3 linked regions of the Schizosaccharomyces pombe genome follow. Changing the gene in region 3 together with the main gene of any one other region gives a genetic interaction. Each region holds a gene or a part of one and is shown on either strand. Other genes may lie near its edges.

Region 1 (5,555 bases), 810 kb from region 3:
CAAAATATATATGTGAAATTGATTTTAACATTTGTAAAATTTTTAGTATATAATTTGTTGTTTTGTCTTAATCCTTCCTACTTGCAACTGTACTTTAGGGAAATATCAGTTAATTTTCGTGATGTTCAAGAAGATACGTATAATTATTAGTTTTTACAAAAATCGCTTACAATTAGTGTATTCAACATTGTTTTAAAGACCGTAATCAAAATTGGCTCTACTAGTAGTACGGTGTAGCAATTACTGCTTTTGTAAATGATCAAGATATTTTAGTTCAATGTTTCACAGTTTAATCGTTGAAAAAATATTACTTAGACAACTCTGTTAAAAAATGATTGAAAGGACTCTTAGAGCCTTCAAATAGGATTGGAGCTCAGTAGTAGATTTCAAATGGCTACATTCACCTGCCTAAAATATATAACTATCTTAATGAGCACATACATAATCTCTAAATAGTTTGACTATTTGACAAGTTTATGGCCATAAGAAATCAACAAAATTATCTTTTTTGAATACCTTGCTCTACTGATATCAATTTACAAGATGCATAAGTAAATATAGTTGCCAATCGTTAATTCATTCATACCATATATACATCGTTTTGCTATTAGAATGTTAAAAAAAGATTCATAGAAACGACAACAATATTTGATTTTTAATCAAAACATTGACAAGTCTAGATATGAAAAGAAGGTAGTAATATAAACCTAATCAAGTTTCCCATATCATGATTATCTTCCACACAATTTGAATAGATAAATCAATAGAAAGAAAACATTATCGGTATTTATTGACATCCGCTGTTAAAATGGCATCAGTATTATGAAATTATTCATTAAATATTATAGTTTTTGAAAGAAGCGGCGAAGACAGCGCAGATTGGGCTTGATAATTAAAAGTAACTGCGACGCTTAGCACTGTGTTCCGTTAAACATGAGTAGTCTTCTTCTAAATGCCTTTTTTGAGAACAAGGTTGAGGGAGGGACGCGACATATGCAGACGCTGTACCCAGATCACAACTCACAGATACGGCAAGTGGTAAGACGCTTGCAAAAGGCATATTAAATGTAACTGGACCAGTAGCATTGTTCAATTTTTGAGCATTATAGCAGTAAGCAACACCTCCATTGGACTTAGAAGTCATTGGCCGATATACTCCAACCTTTGGTGAAGAAGGAGTTGGTGGTAGACTAACTGGCTTAGAAAGGCTTGACAACCGACCCGGTAATACTTGAGGATTTACATAAACTTGCGGTTCCATAAGCGGTATTTGTTCGGGTGGCGAAGCAGTAGTCAAAGTGCGGGACTGATTTGAAGCCTGAATATGTGCTTTACAGACATTCATAGGAGCCAGTTGTTTGGCAATGGGTAAAACAGATGGAGTGGATGGAGGGGTACTGCCAACAGATACTGGAGTAGAAGGTGCCATCGTAAGAATAGGTGATGAGTCTTGAGTTGTTTGAGGAGAAGAGGAGGGCTTCCTCGTAGCCTGATTCTTCAAAGCAGCATTAGCATTCATTCTGCGATGTGCTATCTTCGTTAAACAGGCAATGGAAAAAAGATCATCTAGAGAAGATTGAACATTAGAAAACAAAGAGACCCAATATTGTGCGACGCTGCCAAATGAGGCAACATTAGGATCGGTGGAATCATAACGTGCAGTCGCGTGAGCACAACATTCACCAACTAAAAGAGACCATCTAGCAAAAATATGTTTAGGAACGACAAGACGATAATCGATGCATTGGTAAAACATATATTCCAAAACAAGTAATTTGTCAACTGGAAGTCCTGATAGGCGAGACCAAGCACGATTGCTAAAACTACGATCCTGTAAAAATTTTGTAGCGGCCATCAAGCAGACTAAGAAAAGACGACGCCCACATAACAGAGGAATGTAGTTAGTAGGCTTAGAAGAAGCAGCATCACGAAAACGGATGAAGTAATATAAAGCAAGAAGCAACGTAGTGTAATCGACACGACTTCTGCGAATCGTTTCATACAAAAACTGAGTAAGTGAAAGGGAGTGCGAATGTGATTGTTGATTTGTACTTTTAGCCAAGGGGTAGATAGAAAGAATCACGGTACTAAAGGACTCGAGCAAAGCTCGCATGTTAACTTTCGACATCGTGTAGAGAAATATCTAAGATGAAATTTTAAGCAGCTGTTGGAGAAAAATGAAAACTTTTAGCAAGCTTTTTCTCAAAGAGAAGAAAATACGAGTTTATGAAAGGGAAAAAAGCTAACAATGAAAGCTTTCGACGAAAATTTAGTAGAAAAGTAAAAATGGATGACAAAAATTGGAAGACGAACACAATGAGGAGAACGAGTAGATTGACTAAACAGTGCTCCTAACTGGAAAAAAACAGAAATCTCTAAAGGTATGCCATGTTGAAGACACGTACCCAAAATCAGTTAATATTATTATACAAGAAAAAGAAGCTTAGTAAGCCTAAAAAGTTGCAAAAATGAAGAGATAGATGTGTTGGCGAAAATAGTCATCCAAAGAAAGAGTGTAAGAAATAATAATGATTGCTTGAAATCGAATCTTCAAGCGCACAAAGTCGAATTTGAAGAAAGAAAATAAAGCAAAACCGAGATTTTGGGGACCAGGCAGATAAAAGGAAAACTTGAACTGTGTAAAAACCCAAAATAAGCTAGAAAGGAGAGATTGAAAAAATGAGAGGGAAACTACTTAACCAATCTCCTTAACGACGATAAAAGATGCAATCTCTAGAAGAATTTGTTGGCAGAAGAGAAAAACGAATGAAGCAAGGGATGGGATTCAACGATTGAAATATAAGCTAAGATGAATGCGGAAAATAAGCAAAGAAAACAGACCGACAGATAGATAAATAAATAATAAATAAATGTTTGAAATTACACGAAACCGTATGCGAAACCCAAAGTTAATCGACGAAACCAGCGACGGAGTTAGAAAACGTTAAAGCTACAGGGCGACAGCAGACGAATGAAACAAAGGAAAAGTAGATAAGCCTTTTCCCGAGAATTCAAAGAGGCGTGATATTGCAGTCAGCAGAGTAGTTGGAACAATGAAAAAAAGAATAGAAGAAAGAGAACACAAAGCACCTAAACCCAGACAAGCAAATAGAATAAAATAAAATAAAAAGAAAATGAAAAGTTATAATATATCGTGACAAAGAATTAAAGAAGAAGAAAAGAACCCTTCAGGTAGTAAAGGTCTAAGGTGAGAAAGATCCGTAGCGAATCAAATAGATTAGATTTATAATACAGCAGCACCGAATGGTAGGTTACGAGATTCTTCACAAAATGTTTAAAGGAAGGAAGAAAGAAACCAGCAGACTAATTATGTGTCAAGAGGAAGTAGGATTCGATGAACGATGAAAAAAAAAAGTAAAGAAGATGTTAATGGATGAATGATGATTCCCAAACAAAACAAGAAAAACACAATCCAAAACGAGGAAAATTGAGAATAGCACAAACACCAAACCAATTCTATCTAGGCTGAAGAAAGGAAGACGAATGTAACAAAAAAGAAAGGATGAACGTTATGTTTTGTATGGTTGCTTAGCAGAGGGACGACCGGCTCTTCTTAGGAGAGATGACTGATGTTATATATGCAAAGAATGGAAAAAAAAGGTGATTGTGGCAGATCTATGATTATATGAGATAAACATCAGTCGCGGCTTGTCAACCACATTTGTTACCGAGAGTGGCAGGTAACACTATCTGCAACAACGAGATCCTTTGCACATCAAACGTTAGTCCACCGTGATTTCACACCACTGCGTAAAGCAAACATCCATAATTTCAATGGGGTAAAACGCGTCGGTAAAGTTGGCGTCTTGGACTGCCGATTTTGTGAATGATAAGACGTGGAAGTTAAGTCAAGCCGGGACGTTGAAAGGTTTGGAAAGCTGCATCCAGAAAGGCCTCAACAATGGAAAAATTGGATCAGAGCAAGGTTTAGCAGTTGAAAATTGGGAGGGGGCGGAAGATTGGGATGGATAAATTCTGTAATGTCTAGGTATAGCGAAGGGGAAGGCAATGCGGAAAAGGATTTGAGGAAGGAGGCTCATAGGGATAGATGAATGATGTTTGGGGGGGGATATGAAGGACATGTGGTAGTTGGATCAATTTGCTTCCAATCTATTCTAGAGGTTTTCTTGCTTTGTTCCAAAAATATGAAAGTGGTGTCCATGATTCATGGCTCCGATAGATTCTGATTCCTCATAAGAAATTTTTTTTTCTTTGCGTTTCTTCGCTATGTTACCCAAGTTTTGGGCTGCTTTAAGCGACATTGGATTGGCTCAGCTCAGATGCCAAGCAAGTAATAGTAAGAGAGAGAGACATTCAAGGCGGATTCCACTATCCATCAGAGAAGGTGGGATAATGGGGTGGTATGAAGATGAAATGATTTCTTTAAGCGGAGTGGATGGATATTTTGAAAGAATTGCTAATTGTTTTACTTTGTGATGTGTAAAATTGCAATTTCTGTGATGGCATCGCTAACTCCATCGATATCGCTGATTCCATCAGCACTCGAAATGGCGAGCAAGCTTGCGCAACTTGCGAAGGCAAAGATGTAGGATGAAAGTAGCGATATTATTGATGAATACAGTTGTTGGGCAGGAAATATGATGGGCGATGCGATGAAAAGACGCGAATGGTTAAGAATTTGAAGAGTGAAAAAATAAAAGTAAAATAAAATTAATACATTAAATCAAAAGCAAAAAATAAAATTTATAAAATAAATCAAAAGTAAAAGTATCATTTTATAAATTAGTAATGAAACAAAACTTTGAATATGGAAAATCTCTCCATTAGTTTATTGAATAAACAAATATTTCGAATTTTTATTATTGTACTTTAAAATTTTTAAATTATTTTACCTTATAATTAATTTAATTTTTATAATTTACTTTTTTGCCCTTTAAATTTTTCTGTTTATTATTTATTATCATTCATGAATTTAGTATAATCTTTATTTTATTGCTATTATAATTTCATTAAATATATTTTGATTTCTTTTTTTCTTATTACGATTGAACACTTTTCCTCTTCTTATGGTTTATTTTGTTTTCTTTGAGTTTCCTCAACTACTTTCACCGTTGCTTTCTTTACTTTTTTTTTTCTTTCTTTAATTTATGATTATTAATTTATTATTTATTTTTTACCATTTATGTATCATATCCAAATTTTTTTTTTTTTTTATTTCTAATTTCCTATTATCCTTACTACATCCAAGCCATCCTCACTTCCCCTCGCCTCTCTTCTCCAACCGTAGCATAAACAATCCTTTCTTTCACAAAACTTTTTCACCCCCCTCACCTCTTTCTCTTTGTCCCAGCATTGCTTACCCTATCCTGCCTACCATTAAATCCCACATCCCACATCCCAGCTGTTATTGTACTTCCCAATTCTTTCTGTATTTCTGTACTGCGCTGGTTCAACGAAAACGCAAACATAAAATTTCCTTTCACCCACTCGTCCCTTGTTATCGTTGTTTTTTATTTTATCATTTTTATTTACTCTTATTTTGATTATTTTTTACAAGTTATCAGCGAGCGTGT
Region 2 (4,429 bases), on a different chromosome or scaffold from region 3:
GACATCGAATTTTGCTTGACGATACCCATGACAAAGACAAGAGCCTTCTTTCATAAACTTCTTAATTATTTGATTTGAGAGTTCAAAGTCTGCTCTAGCATTGCTTAATCAACGAGTAGCAACATCTATAGAATTTGAGATTCACAATTCAGTACTCAAAATATGCTCCAAAAGAGAAGGTAAAAACCAAACAGCAATAATAAAGAAGGAACCTACAAAACCCCGGATTCCCATGTTGTCTCCAACCATAGTACTAACGAGGCCCTCAGACGCTTAACTGCAGTGATCGGACGGGAACTGGTGTTTTCGCCTAGGTATGGCCGTAGACATCTAGTGAAGAATTTTTGAATATTTATACTACAAAAAAAAAGACCAATATAATTCTAAGTACTTTTAGGATCGCTGAGAATCCATCGCTTATTCCATAAATACAATAATGTAAGCAAGCAATGTGTTTTAATCCAATGACATTTACTATCACAGATCATCTTGAAAGCTGAATGATTGTCTACCTTTTTAAGTTTGACATTTTCAATTCATTACAAATTACAATAAAATCAAAACGCTTGTATTGTGTGTGCATGCACCTTGTTACAAGTGAGCGAGCTAAATTAGCTACAGTGAAGATGAGTACTCGTTCTTATACGATTAAAACACTATGTCTTGAACCAAATCCATTAACATATAATTAACTCAATTTAAACGAAAGTGGCCAACTAGTTGAAAGTCAGCAAATAATAACTATCGTGAAAAGCATCAAATAACACTAAGCCTATCGGTAAAAGAAACATTAACATGTCGGTATGCAAAAAAATTTTTGGCTTAGTGTATTTTCCGCTTCGAGATGCAGTCATAAACACAAAGGTTGAATTTGTGCCTACCCAGTCCAAAAAAAAATACATATCCGTTGAACCAGGACTTAACATATAAAACCATATATCTTTCACAATTGAAGAACAAAGAAGCAAACATAGAATAAATAAAGACAACTCTAAAATCTTTTCATCTTTAAAGAAAACCATGTATCCATAAAGCCATCAACTGAGAATTCGTTACATGTTCTAATCGTATTTAACGTAACAAACGAGAAAAGCTAATGATAGCACTAAGCTATCTGTCTAAAACTTAAGCTCCTTAGGTTGTTCCCAAGGCTTGGATTGATCAGTGAAGTGACCGTAAGAAGCGGTGGAAAGATAGAAAGGAGTTTGAAGCTTAAGGCTTTTGACCAAAACACCAGGACGAAGGTCAAAGTTCTTGCGGATAATTTCAACAAGCTCAGCAGATGTCTTGGAAGAAGTGCCGTAAGTATTGACAAAAATAGAAAGGGGCTCAGCAACACCAATAGCATAGGAGAGTTGGACAAGGCAGCGGCGAGCCAAACCAGCAGCAACCAAAGATTTGGCAATCCAACGAGCAGCATAGGCGGCAGAACGATCGACCTTGGAGTAGTCTTTACCAGAGAAGGCACCACCACCGTGAGCACCCCAGCCACCATAGGTATCAACAATAATCTTACGACCAGTGAGACCAGCATCACCTTGAGGACCACCAACAACGAAACGACCAGAAGGTTGGATGTGGTAAACAGTCTTCTCATCTAACAAATGAGCAGGGACAGTAGGCTTAATGATCTTCTCCAAAATTTCAGAACGCAAGTCTTCAGTAGAGATGCTATCAGCGTGTTGAGCAGAGACGACGATGGTATCTACACGACGGGGGATGACAGCACCGTTTTCCTCTTCATATTCAATAGTGACTTGAGTCTTGGTATCAGGACGCAACCATGGAAGAGATCCATCACGACGAGCGACAGACATGGCAGCATTGAGTTTGTGAGCAAGGAGAATGGTCAAAGGTAACTTCTCGGGGGTCTCATCAGTTGCATAGCCAAACATAATACCCTGGTCACCAGCACCGAGCTCTTCCAAAGCCTTCTCATAGTGAAGACCTTGAGCGATATCAGGAGATTGTTGCTCGATGGCGACGAGGACGTTGCAAGTCTTGTAATCGAAACCCTTCTCAGAGTCATCATAACCGATGCTCTTAATGGTATTACGAATAACCTTTTGGTAGTCAATTTGTGAGCGAGTAGTAATTTCACCAAAAACCATTACCATACCGGTTTTGGAAGCGGTCTCACATGCTACCTTGGAAAAGGGGTCATCCTTCAAACAAGCATCCAAAATAGCGTCAGATATTTGGTCGCAAATTTTGTCAGGATGACCTTCACCGACAGATTCAGAAGTAAACAAAAAAGTTTGAGCCATTGGGGAATCCAAGATACTTGTAAAGGAAATATGGAATCAAAAAACTAGAAAAGATTGAACAATAAGACAAGCGATTAGTTTCGTCAAATATAAGGAAACAATGAAAACCCTTCTTTATCAATGAATCTAATAAATGTAGATATGCTTGCGAATTTCGTCAAAAGAAGCTCTCAAGGTTTCGTAAAGCAAGTAAGGTTATTCTTTAGCCTTATATGCTGATTATAGTTGTGACTGCTTATCAGGATGGTAGCGCCATTTTTTCAATTTCTTGAGCAATTTTAGAATAGTGATATCTGGTAGAGACAAATTGTTCTGCGCAATTGTTATTTAAAAGCAGGGGTAATAGTATGTTAAATTTTTTATAGTGCTAGACTGTAATGAATTAAAAAAATAAGGAAAGCACGAAAAAGTGTATTTCGTATTTTGATAAATCGCTGTATTTTCAATTTGAAGTAAAAGTAGAAGGGTCTTTGACTGTCAATTTATTTTTACAATTATGTTTACGATTGATGAACTATATACTGCAAATTTAGTAGATATTTAAAGAAGCTTGAATATATAATAAACCCAGCTGTCCCCTTAGATATTGGCTGGACTTGGGCATTGAGTGTGCTAATGCAATGTGCATCTTATAAGTATTTATGCAGATTGAAGGATGTTTTTCTTTTCTTCATTCTTATGTTTTTTAATTGCAAAAACTGGCTCTTCCAAACTTTCATATCTTTGACCAATTATTTGGTCTGCAATTAAATGGGCAATGACTTAGCGCTAGGTCCGTATTGGCAATAAAAAATTTTCGTAATGACGATTTAAGAAAATACATCTTTCTACAGTCTCAGAAACTTGAATTTATCTTTTTTATTTATTTTATTCGAAATGTAATGTAGCATTTTTATAAACTGTAGTAGGTTGACTGGTAGTACAAGCAAAAAATTGGGCGCACCTTAAGTTGTCCTTTGCCAACTGCACCCTACTCAACACCATGAGCGAAAGTCTTACTAGAATCGCCATTGTTAGTGAGGATAAGTGTAGACCAAAGGTAAGAAAATAAAAAAATTAAAGGAGCTTTATTAGTAGAAGGTTATAGTCTACTCGTTGTGGATGACTGGAGCTTTTTTGTGTGTGCACAAAGTTTTCCACGAAAAGAGTTGAGTCAAATTTTGTTTGTTCAAGTATTAAAACATATTTTAACTGCCCTGATTGTACCTCTGTTCAGATTTTTTGATCCTGTTACGATCTGCCAAGCACTTTCGGACTAGTAGTAAATTTTTGCTTGGCTTGGCTGTCACCATATGTTGGTTAAACGAATCTAAAGGTTCTTGTAAGGTAAAGGACCGAAAATTTAAATAAACTTTCAAAGTGGTCTGTGTCACGTTAAAATACGTTTTATTGCTTGCTTACGAAACTTTCCTTTGCTTTTAATGCTTCTGGTTTTAGAATGTTTGGTTTTTATTAGTTTGCTCACCAATATTTTAGAAATGTCGGCAAGAATGCCGCCGGTCTTGCCCTGTCGTGCGCACCGGTAAATTGTGTATTGAAGTTAATCCTACCGATCGCATTGCATTTATTAGTGAAACATTATGTATTGGTTGTGGTATCTGTGTCAAAAAATGTCCATTCGGAGCTATCAACATTATTAATTTGCCCACTAACTTGGAAAGTGAAGTAACCCATCGTTACTCTGCTAATTCTTTCAAGCTTCATCGTTTGCCTACTCCTCGTCCTGGTCAAGTTTTGGGCTTAGTTGGTACTAACGGTATTGGAAAGTCTACTGCGTTAAAGATCCTATCCGGAAAAATGAAGCCTAATTTAGGTCGTTATGATAATCCTCCTGACTGGGCTGAAGTTGTCAAATACTTCCGTGGTAGTGAACTTCAAAACTTTTTCACCAAAGTTGTTGAAGATAACATTAAGGCTCTTATCAAACCTCAATACGTTGATCATATCCCACGGGCGATTAAAACTGGTGACAAAACTGTATCTGGTTTAATTAAAGCTCGTGCAAACAACAATAATTTTGAAGAAGTTATGGATCACACCGATCTTCAAAATCTTTTAAATCGTGAGGTTGGCCATCTTTCTGGTGGTGAGCTTCAACGATTTGCTATTGCTGCCGTAGCCACTCAAAAAGCTGACGTTTACATGTTTGACGAGCCTTCGTC
Region 3 (6,331 bases):
CTGGAGGTGGCGCTACAATCGAAATCCACCGTGAAAAAGGAGGTAACCCAGACGTTGATGTTGCATATCAATATCTTTCTTTTTTCCTAGATGACGACGAGAAGTTGAAACAATTGTACAATACCTATAAGGCTGGTACTCTTTCAACCGGAGAAATGAAAGGAGAGTGTATTAAGCTTTTACAGCAGTTCGTTTCTGACTTTCAAGCAGCACGTTCGAAAGTTGATGAGGCGACCCTTGATATGTTTATGGATGGATCTCGTAAGTTAGAGTGGTAGATGCGTTGTCTTTCTTTCATTTTACAAATAGTGTAAATTAGATACTTGTTTAAGTTGCATTATACAATGAAACTGAATAAACTGTTTTTAGATTGTGCTACAATGTTCAGCTGTTCTAATAAATGAGGAAAACATTTACAGCACCAAACGCACAATATAAATAGAGACTCAAATACTGATGCCTTTTCAAAACTCATTACTACGGTAGAGTTTTGTTATGTTTGCATTCATTAATTACCGAACTTTGTACAATCTCTCAACGACGGTGTAGGATGAGCAAAAGAAGAGATGTATATTTACCTAGACCAAAAATATATACATAAGATCATTAGAACAATTTCGGTTTGGAACTAGTAGACAATAATGGGTTGAAAAACGCATTTAGAACGCGACAAATAAACCATAATTAACAAACTAGCATTTAAATATGACCAGACAATCAAATTAAAGCTATTGTTAAGTATTAATCAACACCGTTGAAGTCTTCAGCAATCACTTTTGATAAAGAAATAACGTTGAAAATCGAAACATAAATATATAAGAATATGTAGAATGAAAAAAAAAATAAAAATAGAAGTCAGAAGTACATTTTAAAACTGTAATTGAAAATGTGGAAAGATTCGTCAATATTGTTTGCAAAAACGAATCAAAAACGAAGGACATCGAGCTTTTGATAGAAATACAAACTCGATAACCTCTAACATAGTAGAAAAAATGCCAAATAAAACAAAAAAAAACTGCTACTTCAACAATGAAGGTTTTATAATGCGTAAAAATGAAACAAAGTAAGAAGAAAAGAGTATGGGCCACGTTGAGTAAGGGGCATAAACGAGAGAAAGTAAAACGAAGGAATGTTGAAACAATAGCAAGTAAGGTCATTTAAACAAAAGAATACTTTTTCTTTTGTAATGCGAATGCAAATGGTTACCCTTAATAATCTAATGTAAAAAAGAAAGTGATTTTGTAAAATAAGCAATAAAAAAGTTCGTCAATAAAAGGTGTTTTATGAGCACAAATTGATATGAACTCAAAGCGCTGGAAAACCTTTATCCATAAAAATATCGAACACGTTTAAGAGCAAAACACTCTACAATATTTAAATATTGGAGTTTGTTGGCATAAACCCGGATATTCCTTGCTGAGGAACAACGAGATCAACAGGCATGCTCATATCAGAAGAGACAGAAAGAACGTCTGACTTGGAATTAGTTCTAGGTGGATTACCACACCTATCTTTACCATAACTAATTCGATAGTTTTCATATCCCTTCTTCTGCTTGATTCGATCAATCGCATTAATCGCACTTGCCAACGACGTAAAGTTAACAAAAGCGCAATTCTTTTCGCGGAAAAAGTTGACGTACTCAATTTCGCCAAATTCCTCAAAATCCTCTTTTAAGCGTTCAATAGTCAAAGAATCATCAGCATTGCCAATATAAATGTTACGACTAGCACCACCAGCAACGGCTAAAGCGATATTTGAGGGAAGAGGGCCGCTATGCTTACCCCAACCTATCTTTAAACGACGGTTGCGAATGACCAAACCATGAATGTTGGACATTTCAAAGAATCGAAAAGCAGAAACAGGGTCAACAAAAGTTACGAAACAAATGTGTTTTTCCTGAAGATAACGAATATTGTGTAACAATCCTCCACGAACAGCGTTACATATCTCTTCAATAGTAGTATCAGCATGGATATTACCAATGTAAACAGTGCGATTCCCAGTCATGATAAGATCCGGTTTTTGGAGAACCGGGCTTGGGGGAGGATACCCCATTACGGGATAACCGCCAACAACGCCGACTTGGCCTTTAGAAAAGTAAGCAGGTTGCTTCAAACCCACAGCGCATCTATCCCGTCCGTAGTAAATGCGCCGTTTGGACCATTTGGGGTTTAATGGTAGCTCTTGGACAGCTTTGATTGCAGCTGCAATGTTCAAAAAATGAACAAAAGCTATATTTCGTTCAGTTACGATTTTGATTTGATCAATAGGTCCAAATGGTTCTAAATCTTCACGAATTTCATCTTCAGTAATACCATTCGGCAAGTTGCCGAGGAATACATTCCTACAAGCGCCAGATTGCTGGACTGCAAGTAGTACAGATGAATTCGAGGCTGAGTTCTTGCCCCAACCAACTTTTACTTCAGTACCCCGAATTGTCAATCTCTTCAAGGCAGCATCTTGGAAAAAGGCAGTAGCGTGGCTCGGATCCAAAAAGGAAATAAAGGCACAATTTTTCTCAGGTAGAATCCATGCAGATTCAATTGGTCCCGTACGCACGCAAGAAAGAATCTCATCAATAGGGGTATTGGGAGGAAGGTTACCAACATACACAGTTTTAACAGGTTGTGTAGTGTTATTCGGAAGTGGAAAGTAACCCGGGGCAAAGTTAGCAACATTAGGACTGGTAACACGTGAAACATTATAGCCAGTCGTGGGATGAGCGGGAGCCGCTGCCATTTGGGTAGTGCTAAAGGGCAAGCCATGCATGGAAGTATAGCTCGTTGGGCTTTGAACAAAAGGACTCCCCATAAGAAGCCCGGTAGGGAGTAGAGCATGCGGTGTGTTTGGTGTAGCGAGACCTTCAGCACTTACAGTATGAGGGATAGTAAGTGGTGGTAAATGTGGAGTTCTTCCAGGGACAGAAAGACGGGACTGACTAGAGGGACTGCTAGAAGACATAATGACCGAAATCAATAACTGTTAAAGAAAGAATTATACTAAGAGCACAGCTGCTTGATTGACAAAGGAAGAAATGTAAAATAAAGAAATCAACGAGAGTGACGTTTGGTAACAAATAATAAAGGGGTATATCTTACAATTTATATCACTTTGAAATATATCGAAAACCAAAATCGGACCAATAAAGCTCACGAACTTAGGAGGCAACTTATGATGCGTTTAACGATAAAAATCCAAGCGGGTAATAAATGAATAGTTAAACAATATCGCTTAAAGCTAACAACAAGTCTGTTTAAAAAACTCAATTAGACGAGAAAGACAATAATTAATAGCAACGGAAAATCTTAGCCAAAAGAAAACTGTCAACGTCCAACGTATTTTTTAATTCTAAAAATAAGAAAACTCGTAATTCCCAAACTGAATAAGGAAACTTAGACTGAGAGGCACGTAGGCAAAGCGAATAAATGGAAGGAAAAAATGCGAATGAAACAAGCAGATCACAACAACCTCAACAAAATCTTGAATGATGTGGAAAGGAATATGAGCCTAACAATGGTAAAAATTTTTTTTTTTTTAATTTTTTAAAAAATTAAGCTTACTAAGTAAAGATACCGAACAAGAGTATTAGACTTACTCCAAGAAATTGATGGAGAATAAAACAAAGTGAAATGAACAAGAGTATGACCAAAAAAGCAAAGTATACAATTCAAAGTAGTACGAAAGAATAATCAATCAAAGAATTCTAAAGACGCGTAGAAGTGTATTTTATCTTATAAAAGAAGAGGAGAAAAGTCAACAGTATGGTCGACAGTGAAAGAAGGAGTTTTAGAGAAGAAAAAAATGAAAAGGGAAAGTTAAATTTCCAAGATAATAATGATTATGAGGAGTACAATGGAAGTAAAAAAAATAAAAAAAAAGAATATAGAAAAACTGGAATAAATATATTCGGAAGGCTTGGTAAAAATGCAGGGAAGAGAAAGTAGATTGAAGTCAATGCGTTCTAACGACCCAAAATATAGTATCACAGAGGAGTAAGAAGAGAAAAGAATGTGGAAATGAAAAAAGAAAATGAAAAAAGGCGATGATATTTATTTCACAGGTAGATTTAAAAGGTTGCTTAAAAAGCAAATAAAGGAGAAACAGAAAAAAAATAAGAGAAACAAGTACCAGTATTAGCGAATAATCAATAAGTATACCGCGAAACAAAAAAAATCAAAGCTTCAAAGTAATACACTCATATAAATGCAAATGGTAGAGAAAGAAATATGTTTTTGAGAAAAAAGAAATGAAAAGAGAAAGAATATTAGATATAGCCAGCGGCTATTCGTGTGGTTGAGTATTTGGTAGTGAGCACGTTAACGGCTTTTCGTTACTGCACTAATATTACTGCGTGCTTATAGAGAGAAACAAGCTACATGCCATTAACGATTATCCAGCGTACACCAACATGTGAATATGCCGCCCAAGGTAACATTAATTCTGGATGTTCCTTCAACGACAGAGCGCGAGTGCACAATCGAATGTAAACACTTGACAACGAGCATGGCAACGAAAACAAACAAAAAAGAATGCACTTGTATGGATTGCGGCAATGAGTTAAATAGTAATAGTGGTAAAATAAAGTAAATATATGCCAGTATAGACATATATTAGAATGGCCCACTAACAAGCACGCGCAAACCAAGTTTTCACACACTGTTTTAGAATTTTTCCATCAACGCCGCGTTGTAAATAAAAGTAAATAAATAAGCAGCCGAAGTGGCTCCCCGAGAGTTTCACACAATTTCGCCCACGTACGTATGTGATTGTGTGCTAAGCAGCGTGGGACTCAAGCAAATAGTTAGACTAACTTGATACAAATGCAGACATGTAATCATCTTCCACTTTGTATAAACACAACGAAAATTTTTATGGGGGTAAAGCTTCTGTCGAAATCTCGCCTCGCTATTTCAGATGATTAGTCGATATCAAAGGAATAATTCATAGAAAAAAGCATGTAGTGCCAAGTGACAAGTGATATCTAACGATAAGCCGCTCATAAAAAAATGTAAACAAGAATAATCAAGAATGTTGGCCGAGCAGAATAAATTCCAAAAAAAAAAATAAATCTTCTGCATGAAAATTTAAATTATCTCGTGCAACAATAAATAATGAAAATCACACAAAAATGATAACTTTGACCGTATGTCTTCTTCCCTGAACGCTTTGCTAAGATGTGACTTAAATCCTAAGCTAACACATTGTTCAAAAGTCTCCGCCTTGCACGGTAGAGGAATATTTTCCGCGTGAAATTTAGGGGGCGTAGACAAGCTCAGTAACTGTCAATTTTCACTTTGGATTTTTCTTTCTTTTTCATTCTATTCAGCTTAGTAATTCATTGACTATCTAATTTGTATTTATCAAAATATTCCGCTGTTGCTTAATCTCTATACACAATTTCGCTGTGAGTCGCTTTATGGTGGCCGCCAAGAAGGGTGAGCGAAAGCGCTCTCTAATTATTACACTGACTGATCAGATAGCTAAATAGTCTCCTGCAAAATTGAGTCTTCTGCTAACTTCAATGCCGCTGTAGCGTAGAAAAGTAGACTCGGTAGCTATTGACCTAAACATATCGACTTTTCTTCAACTCTGCAAACTAACGATTGTCAAGGCGTAAAGGTTGCTACGGAGATTTACATATTTACCGGCCAAGGCGTTTAGTCATTTGATTCACCGTGATCATCGGCTTTCGTTTTTTTTTTTAGAAACTCGGGTTAGCAGAGAAACAAATGCCATAAAGTAGAAAAAAGGCATATGCTCGTTCATAACACTCTACTTAAATTGTTTGTAAATTTTGTCAGTTTACGTAAAAATTTTGGTTGTATACTTAATGTTTAGCACTAATTGTCCTTATTCATAAAAAAAAGCAATACAATTTGTTTTATTAATTAATATTAAAGTAATTAGAACACGTAAAGAAGCAGATATTAGGTTTCAAACTACATTGCGATATCTTCAACGAACTACTAATGACTTGGTTTCTTCTGTAATCTTTTCCACTTAACTGTATTCTATTTTACTAATATAGTCTTATTGTAATGTATTCGTGAATCCTCCATTACCCATTTCTTACACTAGAAAAGAAAAGAAAAACTAGAGACCTATACACGTTTCTAAATAACAAAAGCGTATCTCATAAAGATAACAAGAACACTTGAGCCGCTATAAAAGATTGATATTTTTTGTTGGATTAAACAATCCTAAAGCCCAATTTTCTGCAAAAATTATGATCTAGCCATATATAGCCAATCTCTACATAGCAAAAATGAAACAAAAATCTTTTCATTGCAAAAATTAATAGCAAGACGCCAGGTTTCATCAGTTCACA

Evidence for each region.
Region 1: of nrd1 (region 3) and pas1, changing one enhances a phenotype caused by changing the other (phenotypic enhancement), as found in Schizosaccharomyces pombe (one study listed by BioGRID).
Region 2: of nrd1 (region 3) and sam1, extra expression of one rescues a mutant of the other (dosage rescue), as found in Schizosaccharomyces pombe (one study listed by BioGRID).

The regions. Positions count from the first base shown.
Region 1 is NC_003424.3:1,359,144-1,364,698, reverse strand, and holds pas1 (cyclin Pas1), read right to left. Parts: upstream 3,567-5,555; 5' UTR 2,129-3,566; coding exon 893-2,128; 3' UTR 525-892; downstream 1-524.
Region 2 is NC_003423.3:4,161,410-4,165,838, forward strand, and holds sam1 (S-adenosylmethionine synthetase), read right to left. Parts: upstream 2,450-4,429; 5' UTR 2,268-2,449; coding exon 1,119-2,267; 3' UTR 660-1,118; downstream 1-659. Other genes in the region: Fe-sulfur ATPase Rli1, read left to right, coding at 3,250-3,306, 3,744-4,429. UniProt on the Schizosaccharomyces pombe protein: Catalyzes the formation of S-adenosylmethionine from methionine and ATP. The reaction comprises two steps that are both catalyzed by the same enzyme: formation of S-adenosylmethionine (AdoMet) and triphosphate, and subsequent hydrolysis of the triphosphate.
Region 3 is NC_003424.3:553,264-559,594, reverse strand, and holds nrd1 (RNA-binding protein Nrd1), read right to left. Parts: upstream 4,310-6,331; 5' UTR 2,965-4,309; coding exon 1,375-2,964; 3' UTR 544-1,374; downstream 1-543. Other genes in the region: tryptophan-tRNA ligase Wrs1, read left to right, coding at 1-278.